Linked DNA regions of Macaca mulatta. The protein of the gene in region 1 binds, or shares a complex with, the protein of each later gene. Links are inferred from orthologs where the notes say so. Each region holds a gene or a part of one and is shown on either strand. Other genes may lie near its edges.

Region 1 (5,724 bases):
GATGATGTATAAAGGTAAACATGAAGTTCCCTCTTAGCACACCCAGCTACTCCAGCCCTCCCTACACAGGAATTCTCTCACTGGCAGTACAACCACTGGTGATTTTTTTTTTTTTTTTTTCTGAGACAGAGTCTTGCTCTGTTTCCCAGGCTGGAGTACAGTGGCACAATCACACCTTACTGCAGCCTCCAACTCCTGGGCTCAAGCAATCCTCCTGCCTTAGCCTCCCAAGTAGCTAGGACTATAGGCACACACCACACTGAGCTAATTTTTGTATTTCTAGTAGAAATGCAGTCTCACTATATTGCCCAGGCTGGTCTTGATCTTCTGGCCTCAAGCAGTCCTCCCACTCTGGCCTCACCAAATGCTGGGATTATAGGCATGAGCCACTATGCCCAGTACCACTGGTAATTAATGGCCTGGGGTCCTTCCTTCTAATGCCCTTCCAAGTGAGCATGTATTAATTAGGAGTTTTACACCACATACTACCAGGCAAATATACAAACTGAGTTATGTTGTTTCTTTATTTTTTATTATGCCAATAACAATCTTTCTTTTCTAATATTATTTGCTTCAGTGCTCCAGAACCTGGAACTCAAGATGCCAGCATCCCAGTTGAGAAACTTCCCCGGTGGGTAAAAAGCTCTGATTTGTACCAGTGTTCCTGGTTACAAAAAAAATAGACATCAAAATCTAAACATGTATTTGGCAAGATGCCTCTTAAATCAAATGCACAAATGTGAAAACTAGCCTTGACCTCTAAGACCAAAAGTGAAAGGACAAAGGATGAACCAAAGTAGGATGAAAAAAATGATTTCTTTCCAACCCCTTTTTGCTTTGTGTTCTGGCGGGATCATTTCAGGTCGGGAAAGTTTCTGAAGCTGTTGTGTGACAGGTGGTTACCCAGTGTACAGAAAGCATATGGGCTGACCTATAACTGGTCAAATAACATCACTGGCATTATTAATCCATGGTTAAGGAGGCAATGAATAAGGAGGCAATGAAAGGACGTGAATAGGAGAGGTTACAGGACCCAACAGAATGTTCATAGATAAAAAAAAAAAAAAAAAAAAGGAAGATTTTGATGCCAATTTTTCAAAACCAGACATTAAAACAGCACTTCTATAATCTGTAATTGGATCAGAGGTTTTTTTGTTGCGGGTTTTTTTGTTTTTTTGGGTTTTTTTTGAGATGGAATCTCACTTGATGTCCAGGCTGGAGTGCAGTGGCGCGATCTTGGCTCACTGTAACCTCCGCCTTCTGGATTCAAATGATTCTCTTGCCTCAGCCTCTCGAGTAGCTGGGATTACAGGCGCCCGCCAGCATGCCCGGCTATTTTTTGTGTTTTTAGTAGAGACGAGGTTTTGCCATGTTGGCCAGGCTGGTCTTGAGCTCTTGACCTCAGGTGATCCACCCACCTCGGCCTCCCAACATGCTGGGATTACAGGCATGAGCCACCGCGCCTGGCTGGATTAGAGTGTTTTTAAGGTAAAATAAAACAGCACTTCTAAAAGTGTTTCATAGAATATTAATTTAATATTACGTTGAGAGACATTACTTGATAAAAACATGTTAGGCACTCAAATTACAGAAATGTTAGACTAAACAAAGTTAAAATATGTTTGCTCTACTGCAGGACTTTTCAGAGCATTTATTCCACATTGCTGCCTTCTAAAAAGTGGTTATAAAATGTATGTTAATGCTTTACTGACTTATTTAACCACAGAACCTTTTAAATTTTCCTTATGAGGGTTTTAATTGCTAAATATTAAAGTTTTCTTCTGAAGGAATAGGGAGACCTGGAGGACTTCTATGATGCAGGAGATTACGATGATGAAAATGGTGTTTGAGGGATGATTTTAGGAGGTGTATAGAAGGTGACCCTGAGGTAGGAGGGAGTGAAAGAAAGAGATTTTTAGTAATGGATACAGGAAAGCTGACTACATACGGGACCAGAGAGACGTGAACCTGAGAGCACATGAAAGGTCATCGATGAAATTAGGGGATGCTTGGGGTGGGAGGCAAACCTGAGTCCAGTATGACTCCCAGGTCTGGGTGGCTGTGAGCACAAGTGTGAGCATAATGAAGGAACCGGGAAAGCTTAGCTGAAACAATCTGTCAGCACATCAAGTACACAGAGACAAGATAAAAAACAAGGACAGTTCGGCAGGGCGCGGTGGCTCACGCCTGTCATCCCAGCACTTTGGGAGGCTGAGGCAGGCATATCATGAGGTCAGGAGTTCGAGACCAGCCTGGCCAATATAGTGAAACCCCATCTCTACTAAAAATACAAAAATTAGCCGGGTGTGGTCGCATACGCCTGTAGTCCCAGCTACTCGGTAGGCTGAGGCAGGAGAATGGCGTGAACCCGGGAGGCGGAGCTTGCAGTGAGCCGAGACCACGCCACTGCACTCCAGCCTGGGCTGCTAACAGAGCGAGACTCCGTCTCAAAAAAAATAAATTAAAAAAAAAAAAAAAAAAAAAAGGACCGTTACACCTGATGCTTCACATGCAAGGCAACTTTATATAGGCTGGGAGGAGAGTGTAGGGAATAAGAGGCATCAGAGGTGAACCATCTGGACGTACTGGGTTTGGGGTAGCCCCTGGCCGCCCTCCGATCCAGCTGGGCAGACTTTGCTCGGGGTTGGCTCAAGGATCCCATTCTTCCAGGTGTGAAGAGGCAGGCTGCGGAGGCTTGCTGCGCCCTCACGTCGTGTGGTTTGGAGAAAACCTGGATCCTGCCATTCTGGAGGAGGTTGACAAAGAGCTCGGCCGCTGTGATTTATGTCTAGTGGTGGGTCACGGCTTTCCCTGACCCCAAGCAGGACTGGAGTTAGTTATTTTTTGCTTCCCCCTCTCCCCTTTTCCGTCCTCGCTCCCTTGCTTCTTTCCTTCCCGCCTTCTCTCCCCCCTCCCCTTCTTCCTTTCCTTAAAATGTATGTTGAGAGGTCTTTGTGGCATCCTATAGAAAAACTGAGAAACAATGAATAAGAATTTATATTAAAATGGGAAACCATGCATGTCTTGGACATCTCAAAGCCTTCTCCCCCAGCCCCACCAAAAAAAAAGAACATACTATTGGTTTTTAAAATAATACGTGCTTATGATTAAATGTAATTGAGAACATGCAAAAATTATCACATTATAAAGAGGAAATTAGAAATCGCCCATAGTTCTGCTAATCAGAAATAGTTACCATTAGCAGTTTAGTATATTTTCTTCTAGACCAGGAGTGAGCAAACAGCAGCCTTTGGGCCACATTGGGCCTGCTACCTGTTTTTGTAAATAAAGTTTTATTGGAACTCAGCCGCACTCATTCTTCCACACACTATGACTACTTTCAAACTACAGTGGCAGAGTTGAGTACTTGTGACAGAGACTGAATGGCTGCAAAGCCTGAAAAATTTACTCTATGGTCCTTTTCAGAATAAGTTTGCCCACCTCTGGTCTAAACCTTTTCTTATGCAGATGTACACATATTAATTAAAATTCAAAACTGACTTCATGACATATGTTCTGTTTTGAAACTACTTTATTCACGCAGCAGTTCACTTAGCATATTCCATGTCAGTACATCTAAATCAATATCATCTTTCAGTTGACTGTATGGTGTTTTATATGGATAGGGAATGATATATTTAGCTAATTCTCTACTGTAAGACATTTGGGCTATTTCAAATTTTGATATTTTAATCAATGATATCGTACATATCCTTAGATAGAAATCTTACCATGCTCTTCAAATGATTTCCTTAAGACACATTTCCTAAAAGTGGGATTAATTGGACAGATTGTATGCATATTTCAAATTTTTCTGGACACATCTTTAAAAGCAGAGGCACTTTCTTGTGGTGCATATTCATTCAGCCAGTATTTAAAGAATGCTTTCCAATGTCGAGTATAGTATCACTGTTGATGATGGATTGTTAAATGAGAAAAGCTGGTTTACAAACCAGTCATGCTCTTCCCATCCCTGCAAAGAATGTTTATAAGCAAATATTTATGAGAGAAAACCTAAGAGGACATACATGAAAATGTTAACAGTGGTTATCTTGGGGTAAGATTATTGATGATATCTATTTTTTTTCTTCGTATTTTCTACCTTTAACAAAAAGAAAATATGTTTTAAAAAGTTATGGATCATTTGCTTAACTTTAAAGCAGAAACAAAACCAGAACTACCCCCAAAACATGTTGAGTCACTTCTAAGTCACTCTTTTGTTAACTCTCCTTTTCATGTCACATATTCTTGTCGATTCTAGTGATTGATCAAAGGACAGCTCTTCACTTTCCCTCATCCCTTGGACACCCTGTTTTATCCCATCCTGTTTGGCTTTTCTCACACCTGCAACCACAGACCTATCTGAGTTTGTGTAAGGTTTTCTGAAAAAATGTTCCTTCTTGTCGTGTGGCCGTTTGTCCATCTCCATGTGCTTGCCTTGTAGGTGGGCACTTCCTCTGTGGTGTACCCAGCCGCCATGTTTGCCCCCCAGGTGGCTGCCAGGGGCGTGCCAGTGGCAGAATTTAATACGGAGACCACCCCAGCTACGAACAGATTCAGGTACTGGGATACCCTGATGGGAGAGGGCGATGTGGGAGGCAGGTGCAGACATGGTCATCTAAACATAGTTGACCTACTCCTCTAATTTTTAAAAAAGACACAGGGTTTGTGTTTTTTTGTTTGATCTGCAGTTGCTTTTATGGAAGAACAAAATCATTCACTGTAGACTAAGGTAGGGTAGCTCTGTCATTGTACACGACATTTGCCATGGGACTTTTGTTTGTTCACATTTTGAAAGCTCTTCTTTGATTCCTTAGGCTTTGCTTTCCCTTACATTTTTAAGCTAGACTCAGTGATGGCCTTTAGTTGTAGGTTACCCAGATGCTCCGCAAGTAAGCCTGGGAGACGCCCTTGCAGAACCTCATCACCTGCCGTTCTCACTGGGAGGCCACCTGGCAGATTCCCCTTTGGTCTAATCGCCAAGGTTATCTGTATCTGTGGCCATGTTATGACACTGATCCTGCTTCCCAAGTTTAGGTGGGAAGTGTAGATTGTCATAGTATGCATTTTTAGTCTTATTCCTGGGTCTGTTTTATGTCTTCACCCTTCTGTCTTTTTTCTCACTCCAACTTTTTTTTGCCTTTACTTCTTATTCTTGTCCATCTAGTTAATTCCTTTTGAATAAGTTAGACTATAAATAAGTAGTAAATGAATATAAATGAATAAAATAGAAAACTTCATTGAAACATCTTGTCATTACTTTAATCAGCAGTTTCCAACCTTGGCTGCATATTTTAAAAATACTGATGCCTGGGGGCCACTTCATGAAATTTCAGTGTCATTGCTCTGAGTTGCAGCCCAGACATCATTTGATAAGCTTCCTAGGTGATTCCAGTGTGCAGCCAGGATAGGAACCACTCTTCAAAGTCTCTGCTGGGATTTAAAAAAAAAAAAGGAAAAAAGAAAAGGGGCCACAGACACTTAAGTAGGCCCCTCCTCAGGTGAGTGAACTGGCTCTGGGCCTCTTCTTTTCCATGTGTCTTTTTGATCAGCTATAGCCTGTGTTCTTGATCCATAGTTCTTCATTTGTGTGTGAGTAGTAGGAACTAAGAAGATAGCCTAAAAAAAATTGCCTCCTATGCTAAACTTATACTTTGAAAACTACAGAACATTGTTGAAAGAAATAAAGAAGGCCTAAATGAATGGAAACATATCCAATGTTCA
Region 2 (6,416 bases), on another chromosome or scaffold:
AGTGCAATGGCCAGATCTCGGCTCACTGCAAGCTCCGCCTCCCAGGTTCACGCCATTCTCCTGCCTCAGCCTCCCGAGTAGCTGGGACTACAGGCACCCGCCACCTCGCCCGGCTAGTTTTTTTTTTGTATTTTTTATTAGAGACGGGGTTTCACCGTGTTATCCAGGATGGTCTCGATCTCCTGACCTCGTGATCCGCCCGTCTCGGCCTCCCAAAGTGCTGGGATTACAGGCTTGAGCCACCGCGCCCGACCGGAGTTTCACTCTTGTTGTCCAGGCTGGAGTGCAATGGCGCTATCTCAGCTCACTGCAACCTCTGCCTCCCCGGTTCAAGCAATTCTCCTGCCTAAGCTTCCCGAGTAGCTGGGATTACAGGCATGTGCCACCACACTCGGCTAATTTTGTATTTTTAGTAGAAACGGGGTTGCTCCACATTGGTCAGGCTGGTCTCGAACTCCTGACCTCAGGTAATCCACCTGCTTCAGCCTCCCAAAGTGCTGGGATTACAGGCATGAGCCACTGCGCCCGGCCCTGATAGTGAGAAGTTTTTTGTTTTTTTTTTTTTTTTTTTTTTTGAGACTGAGTCTGGCTCTGTCGCCCAGGCTGGAGTGCAGTGGCCGGATCTCAGCTCACTGCAAGCTCCGCCTCCCGGGTTTACGCCATTCTCCTGCCTCAGCCTCCGGTGTAGCTGGGACCACAGGCGCCCGCCACCTCGCCCGGCTAGTTTTTTGTATTTTTTAGTAGAGACGGGGTTTCACCGTGTTAGCCAGGATGGTCTCGATCTCCTGACCTTGTGATCCGCCCGTCTCAGCCTCCCAAAGTGCTGGGATTACAGGCTTGAGCCACCGTGCCCGGCTGAGAAGTTTTAACTCAGTAAATTGACTACAGAGCCTCAGCTTTTATTTATTTATTTTTATTTTTATTTTCTTTTTAAATTTTATTTTATTATTTCTTTCTTTAGCCCCAGCTTTTAAACCACAAATAAGAGTGACATGATCAGATTTCAGAAAAATTTCCTTCGGCTGCAGTGGAAAGGATGGATAAGAGATAGTGTTAATCGAAATGAGTGACTAAACAGACTAAACCATGTCACAGACACTTCTGTGGCTGCTTCTTCCCAAGAGGTTCTCAGGAGGTTTTTAGCATTTATACATTTTCTTTGAAAAGTGGGGGTGGGAAAGTGAGGCGAAGACTTTAGCTAATGCTCAGTAAATCTACATTTTGTTTTTTGAGACGGAGTCTTGCTCTGTTGCCAGGCTGGAGTGCAGTGGTGATCTCGGCTCACTGCAACCTCTGCCTCCAGGTTCAAGCGATTCCCCTGCCTCAGCCTCCCGAGTAGCTGGGACTACAGGCGCGCCACCGCGCCCAGCTAATTTTCTGTATTTTAGTAGAGACGGGGTTTTACCATGTTGACCAGGATGGTATCAAACTCCTGACCTTATGATCCGCCCCCTCCTCGGCGGCCTAAATCTACATTTTTACACAAGATAAGGTGAATGTTTGAGGAAAATGGGAATAGCGGAAGAAAACAATTGTGTGATGGACTCAGGGTAATCTAGTAGTAAGGTACTACTAGAAAGGTAGAAAGTAGTCTAGTAGAAAGGTAATATAGTAGTCAACATTTATGGAATTTGTGGAATAGAGGCCAGGTGAGGTGGCTCGCGCCTATATTCGTAGCACTTTGGGAGGACAAGGTGGGTGAATCACCTGAGGTCAGGCGTTGGAGGCCAGCCTAGCCAACAGGATGAAACCCCGTCTCTACTAAAAATATAAAAAATTAGCTGGGCATGGTGGTGCGTGCCTGTAGTCCCAGATACTCCGGAGGCTAGGCGGGAGAATCGCTTGAGCCCGGGAGGTGGAGGTTGCAGTAAGCCTACACCGTGCCACTGCACTACAGCCTGGGCGACAGGGTGAGTGAGACTCGTCTCAAAAAAAATGTGGAATACAACAAACTTTCGTTTTAGGAACTAGACTTTAGATTGCAGATCTAGTTACAATTGACACGTCCTTGTTTTATGGGAGGCTACATACTTTAAAGGTTTCCAGGGTAGCAAATAATTGTGATTTTGTGTATGTGTGTTTGTGGGGGGTAGTCATCAGGAAGTGTCTGAGGCCTTTTGCCTTACTGTGTAGGTCTGGCTAATGTGTAATATTTTGACTCAAGATTGTAAAGTCAAGTTATTCATCCGGGGAAAGGATGGTCGTGTAGCTGAATCAGCGTCCTAAACTGAACTTTCCCTTTGGCATAAGTTTAGGAGTCCTGATATTTTATTTTGCTTTACAACAGAAAGCAGCAACCCTGTAATCAAAGAGAACAATGAAGGAAGCTATCTAACCCATGAGGGTTACTGAGGATCTGCGCTGGGGTTAAGGCTGCTTAACTTAAGAAATATTCGGACAGACAGTTCTCATGGCTTGGTGTGGTTAGACGTGGTCATCCGTGGGCAGCAGCTAGGACGCTTACTCCGGTTTGGGCATTAAGGGCACAGTGCGTAGTGGTCCTGGAAGTAAAGGGAATCCTGGTTTTTCGCAGAGACCTTGGATTAACCTAAGCGTTTGGGTTTGGGAGCGGCCACAAGAGCGCCTCACTCCAGCCTCAGCCATCCGCAGCAGGGAGAGGTATTAGTATTTCCGCGCCCGCCCCCACGAGGAAAAGCGCCGAGTCATTCCGGTGGGGCGCGCCGGGCGGGGCTCGGGCCACATCCCCCTCCTCTTTCTTCTCTTCCAGAACCCCTGGTCCGCTCCGACTCTCGCGAGAGCCCTACTGGCTATAAAGGCAGCGCCCCGGGCGGATTTTGCGCGTTTTGTTCTTGCCTGTTTTGTTCTTCCGTGGTGTTGATCTGTGAGTTGTGTTAGGACTGGTGAGTGTGGGCAGCGCGGCCTCTGCGGAGTGAGGCGCGGCGCGCCTTTCTTGTCTGTTGCCTCTTCCTTCTCCTGTCCGGGGCTCGCCCGCCCTTGGGTGGGGGTACTGTGATGCGTGAGGCGGCCGGGGGAGACCCGGAGCCCGAGACTGCCTGAGCGCTACGCGCACCCCTCTCATGGGCCCCCCACGTAGGTGCGGGGACGTGGGACCCCAAGGCTAGCGTGGACTCGAGTCGAGTCGTTCCCCGGCAACTTGAGCACGTGGCGCGGCGTCTGGGCGGGCTGGTGGTGGGGTCTCCAAGACTAGCCTCCTGTCGGGCGGGGTGGGTTCGGGAAGCTTCTGGAATGGACCTGTATCCGGACTCGTGGCTGTAGAAGACAGCCTGTATTTTTGTCCATCTTGTGATAGGGTAAATGCTGTTCCGGGTCCTGAGCCTTGACTAGCTGCGGAGCTTCGGGTACCCTTTCCCCGTCTTTATTTTCCTGTACGTGGAATGGAGTTAGTGATGAGCCCAAATGTCCCCGCTGAAGCACTCTTTCTGCTGGTACTTTACACAGTGCTGGGGAGGGACAGGGGTACCTGAAGTGGGGTTCAGGGGTGTGGCCCTCGGCACTGGGCAGATCCCCTGAAGGGGCCCGGCGCCGGCCTGAAGCAGCCTTTACCCCGAATTGGTTGGGTTTGGTACTTGGGAGCCACCTGGGAAAGTAGGATGGGACGAGAAGGCCATTTGGGGACACCAAGTTGCAGCATGCATTAGTTTCTGGTTTTTGTTTTTTGTCGTTAAAGGTGTTAAGGACTTTTTAAAAAACAGTTTTTAAAGAACTTTAGGACTTGGAAAAACTTTTAGACTGCGGCTCAGTGGGTTAAAACTCTGTTTTTTTTTTTGAGAGAGTCTCGCTCTGTCGGCCAGGCTGGAGTAGCAGTGGTGCGGTCTCGGCTTACTGGGACAACCTCTGTCTGCCGAACTCAAGCAATTCTCCTCCCTCAGTCTCGCGAGTAGCTGGAATTACAGGCGTGTGCCACCAAGCCCCGGCAAATTTTTGCTGTTTTTCTTTTCTTTTTTTTTGAGATGGAGTCTCGCTTTGTCGCCCAGGCTGGAGTGCAGTGGTGCGATCTCGGCTCACTGCAAGCTCCGCCTCGCGGGTTCAGCCATTCTCCTGCATCAGCTCCTGAGTAGCTGGAACTGCAGACGCCGGTCACCACGCCCGGCTAATTTTTTTTTTTTTTTTGTAGTTGTAGTAGAGACGGGGTTTCACCATGTTGGCCAGGCCTGTCGCGAACTTTTTTTTTTTTTTTTTTTGAGACGGAGTCTTGCTCTGTCTCCTAGGCTGGAGTGCAGTGGCGGGATCTCGGCTCACTGCAGCCTCCATCTCCCGGTTTCAAGTGATTCTCCTGCCTCAGCCTCCGGAGTAGCTGGGACTACGGGCGCGTGCCACCACACCCGGCTAACTTTTTGTATTTTTGTTAGAGACGGGGTTTAACTATGTTGGCCGGGCTATTCTCGAACTCCTGACTTGAGGTGATCTGCCTGTCTCAGCTACCAAAGTGCTGGCATTACAGGCCAAGATCTCGATGCTTATCTTGGTGTTGATCTGGGTGAATCCTGCGCAACCTTCCTTTTCAGAAGTAAATTGATTCTTGTTCTACTTCTTTTCGCCCTGGGATATTAGCCCAGAAGTCAGGAACCCATTTGTGAAGGGACTTCTAGGGCTTACACAATACCTAAAGATTTGAAATTAAGCAGACGCCAATATCTTGGTCTTCCCGCGCCCCCCCCCCCCACCGGCTTTTTTTTTTCTTCACTGTATGGCCCAGAGTGAAAAGTCTCACTCTGTCGCCCAGGCTGCAGTGCAGTGGTGTGATCTTGCCTTACTGCAACCTCTGCCTCCCGGGTTCAAGCGATTCACCTGCTTCAGCAGCCTCCTGAGTAGTTGCGATTACAGGCATGCACCACCACTCTCGGCTAATTTTTGTATTTTTAGTAGAGACAGGGTTTCACCATGTTGGCCAGACTGGTCTTGAACTCCTGACCTTGTGATCCGCCTGCCTCGGCCTTCGGAAGTGCTGGGATTACAGGTGTGAGCCACCGCGCCCAGTGGTCTTGCCTCTTAAAAGTTGGACTGGCTGGAAGGGTGCGGTGGCTCACACCTGTAATCCCAGCATTTTGGGAGGCTGAGTTGGGCGATCACCTGAGGTGAGGAGTTCGAGACCAGCCTGACCAACATGGAGAAACCCTTTCTCTAATAAAACTACAAAAAAATTAGCCGGGTGTAGTGGCTAGCGCCTGTAATCCCAGATACTCCGGAGGCTGAGGCAGGAGAATCACTTGAACCCTAGAGGTGGAGGTTGCGGTGAGCCGAGATAGCGCCATTGCACTCCAGCCTGGGCCCCAAGAGCGAAACTCCGTCCAAAAAAAATAAAATAAAACAAGTTGTGTTAGTTATAGGTCGACCGTGTGCTGTCTTTGACAAAGCTACCTGGAGAAAAGTCAAATATGCTTCTGACGTTATTAAGGCAGGTGGAGGCACAGTAATGGGAAAGGTCAACATGACTATGAGCCAAACAAAAGTGTTTGTGGCATTGTGCATTCGGATTCTGGTTTGAGAGTCTTCACCTGCCTCCCTCTCTGCTTCTGTCTAATGAATAAGATGCCACTGCACTAATTATGGTTCAGAAAGAGTGAGAGGTTTTCTTAGTATATAAAGAAATTGCCTTGTCGTTTTTAAATGAAAACAAAGGCTGAGATTCAGAGACTTGTTTTGTTTCAAAAGCTCTGATTGTGACCCTTGACTGCTGGCCTGAGCTTCTTACTAAAATAACATTTAATGTATTCAGGGACACTGGACAATGCCTTGATTGTTCTACAGCTAAGTCTCTTAAGTAGGTGAAGGCTGCTGGTTATCTAGAAAATTAAGGCTTGTTTCTAATTAATTTCTGTTATTTCTAGCTAATAGGAAGATGTCTTCAGGAAATGCTAAAATTGGGCACCCTGCCCCCAACTTCAAAGCCACAGCCGTTATGCCAGATGGTCAGTTTAAAGATATCAGCCTGTCTGACTACAAAGGTAAGAGAATTTACACTGGGCTCATTGAGATGGGGTTATTTTATATTCTAGGGATGGCTTGTTAGATTTGTGTCAGTGTTATGTTTGACTGTAAAACGTTTTGTCTCCTAGAAAGAAGTATTTAGGTTGTTACCTTCATGTTGAAGTAGTGATTATCAAGTGATTACAGGGTATATATCCTAGGACCAAACCACTTCTGGAGAAACCACATGCTTCATTATGTCTGGACATACTAGCTCAATTATCTTTTTAGTATTCCTCCTCTATTTTCTTTATTTATTTTTATTTTTGAGACAGGGTCTCATTCTGTCACCCAGGCTGGAGTGCAGTGGTGCAGTCATGGCTCACTGCAGCCTCTACCTCTCTGGACTCAGGCGATCCTCCCACCTCAGCCTCCCAAGTAGCTGGGACTGTAGGGGCATGCCACCATGCCCGGCTAATTTTTGTGTTTTTTGTAGAGATGGGCACCATCTCCAACTCCTGGGCTCA

What was found. Proteins that work in one complex are often made in the same cells at the same time.
Region 2: the proteins of SIRT5 (region 1) and PRDX1 are in contact, whole or in part, in a crystal structure (PDB 8Z54), measured with the Homo sapiens proteins. The link is inferred for Macaca mulatta from reciprocal best matches to the Homo sapiens genes SIRT5 and PRDX1. Residues at the interface, in NP_001363727.1 of Homo sapiens: Ala86, Tyr102, Arg105, Gln140, Ile142, His158, Val220, Val221, Trp222, Phe223, Gly224, Glu225, Asn226, Leu227, Leu232, Val253, Val254, Tyr255, Pro256; in NP_001189360.1 of Homo sapiens: Phe195, Ser196, Lys197, Gln198.

What each region holds. Positions count from the first base shown.
Region 1 is NC_133409.1:169,515,117-169,520,840, reverse strand, and holds part of SIRT5 (NAD-dependent protein deacylase sirtuin-5, mitochondrial), read left to right. Parts: intron 1-577; coding exon 578-631; intron 632-2,670; coding exon 2,671-2,794; intron 2,795-4,444; coding exon 4,445-4,560; intron 4,561-4,691; coding exon of another isoform or gene 4,692-4,731; exon of another isoform or gene 4,732-5,246; intron 5,247-5,724. UniProt on the Homo sapiens protein: NAD-dependent lysine demalonylase, desuccinylase and deglutarylase that specifically removes malonyl, succinyl and glutaryl groups on target proteins.
Region 2 is NC_133406.1:195,089,496-195,095,911, forward strand, and holds the start of PRDX1 (peroxiredoxin-1), read left to right. Parts: upstream 1-2,794; 5' UTR 2,795-2,861; intron 2,862-5,810; 5' UTR 5,811-5,821; coding exon 5,822-5,927; intron 5,928-6,416. UniProt on the Homo sapiens protein: Thiol-specific peroxidase that catalyzes the reduction of hydrogen peroxide and organic hydroperoxides to water and alcohols, respectively.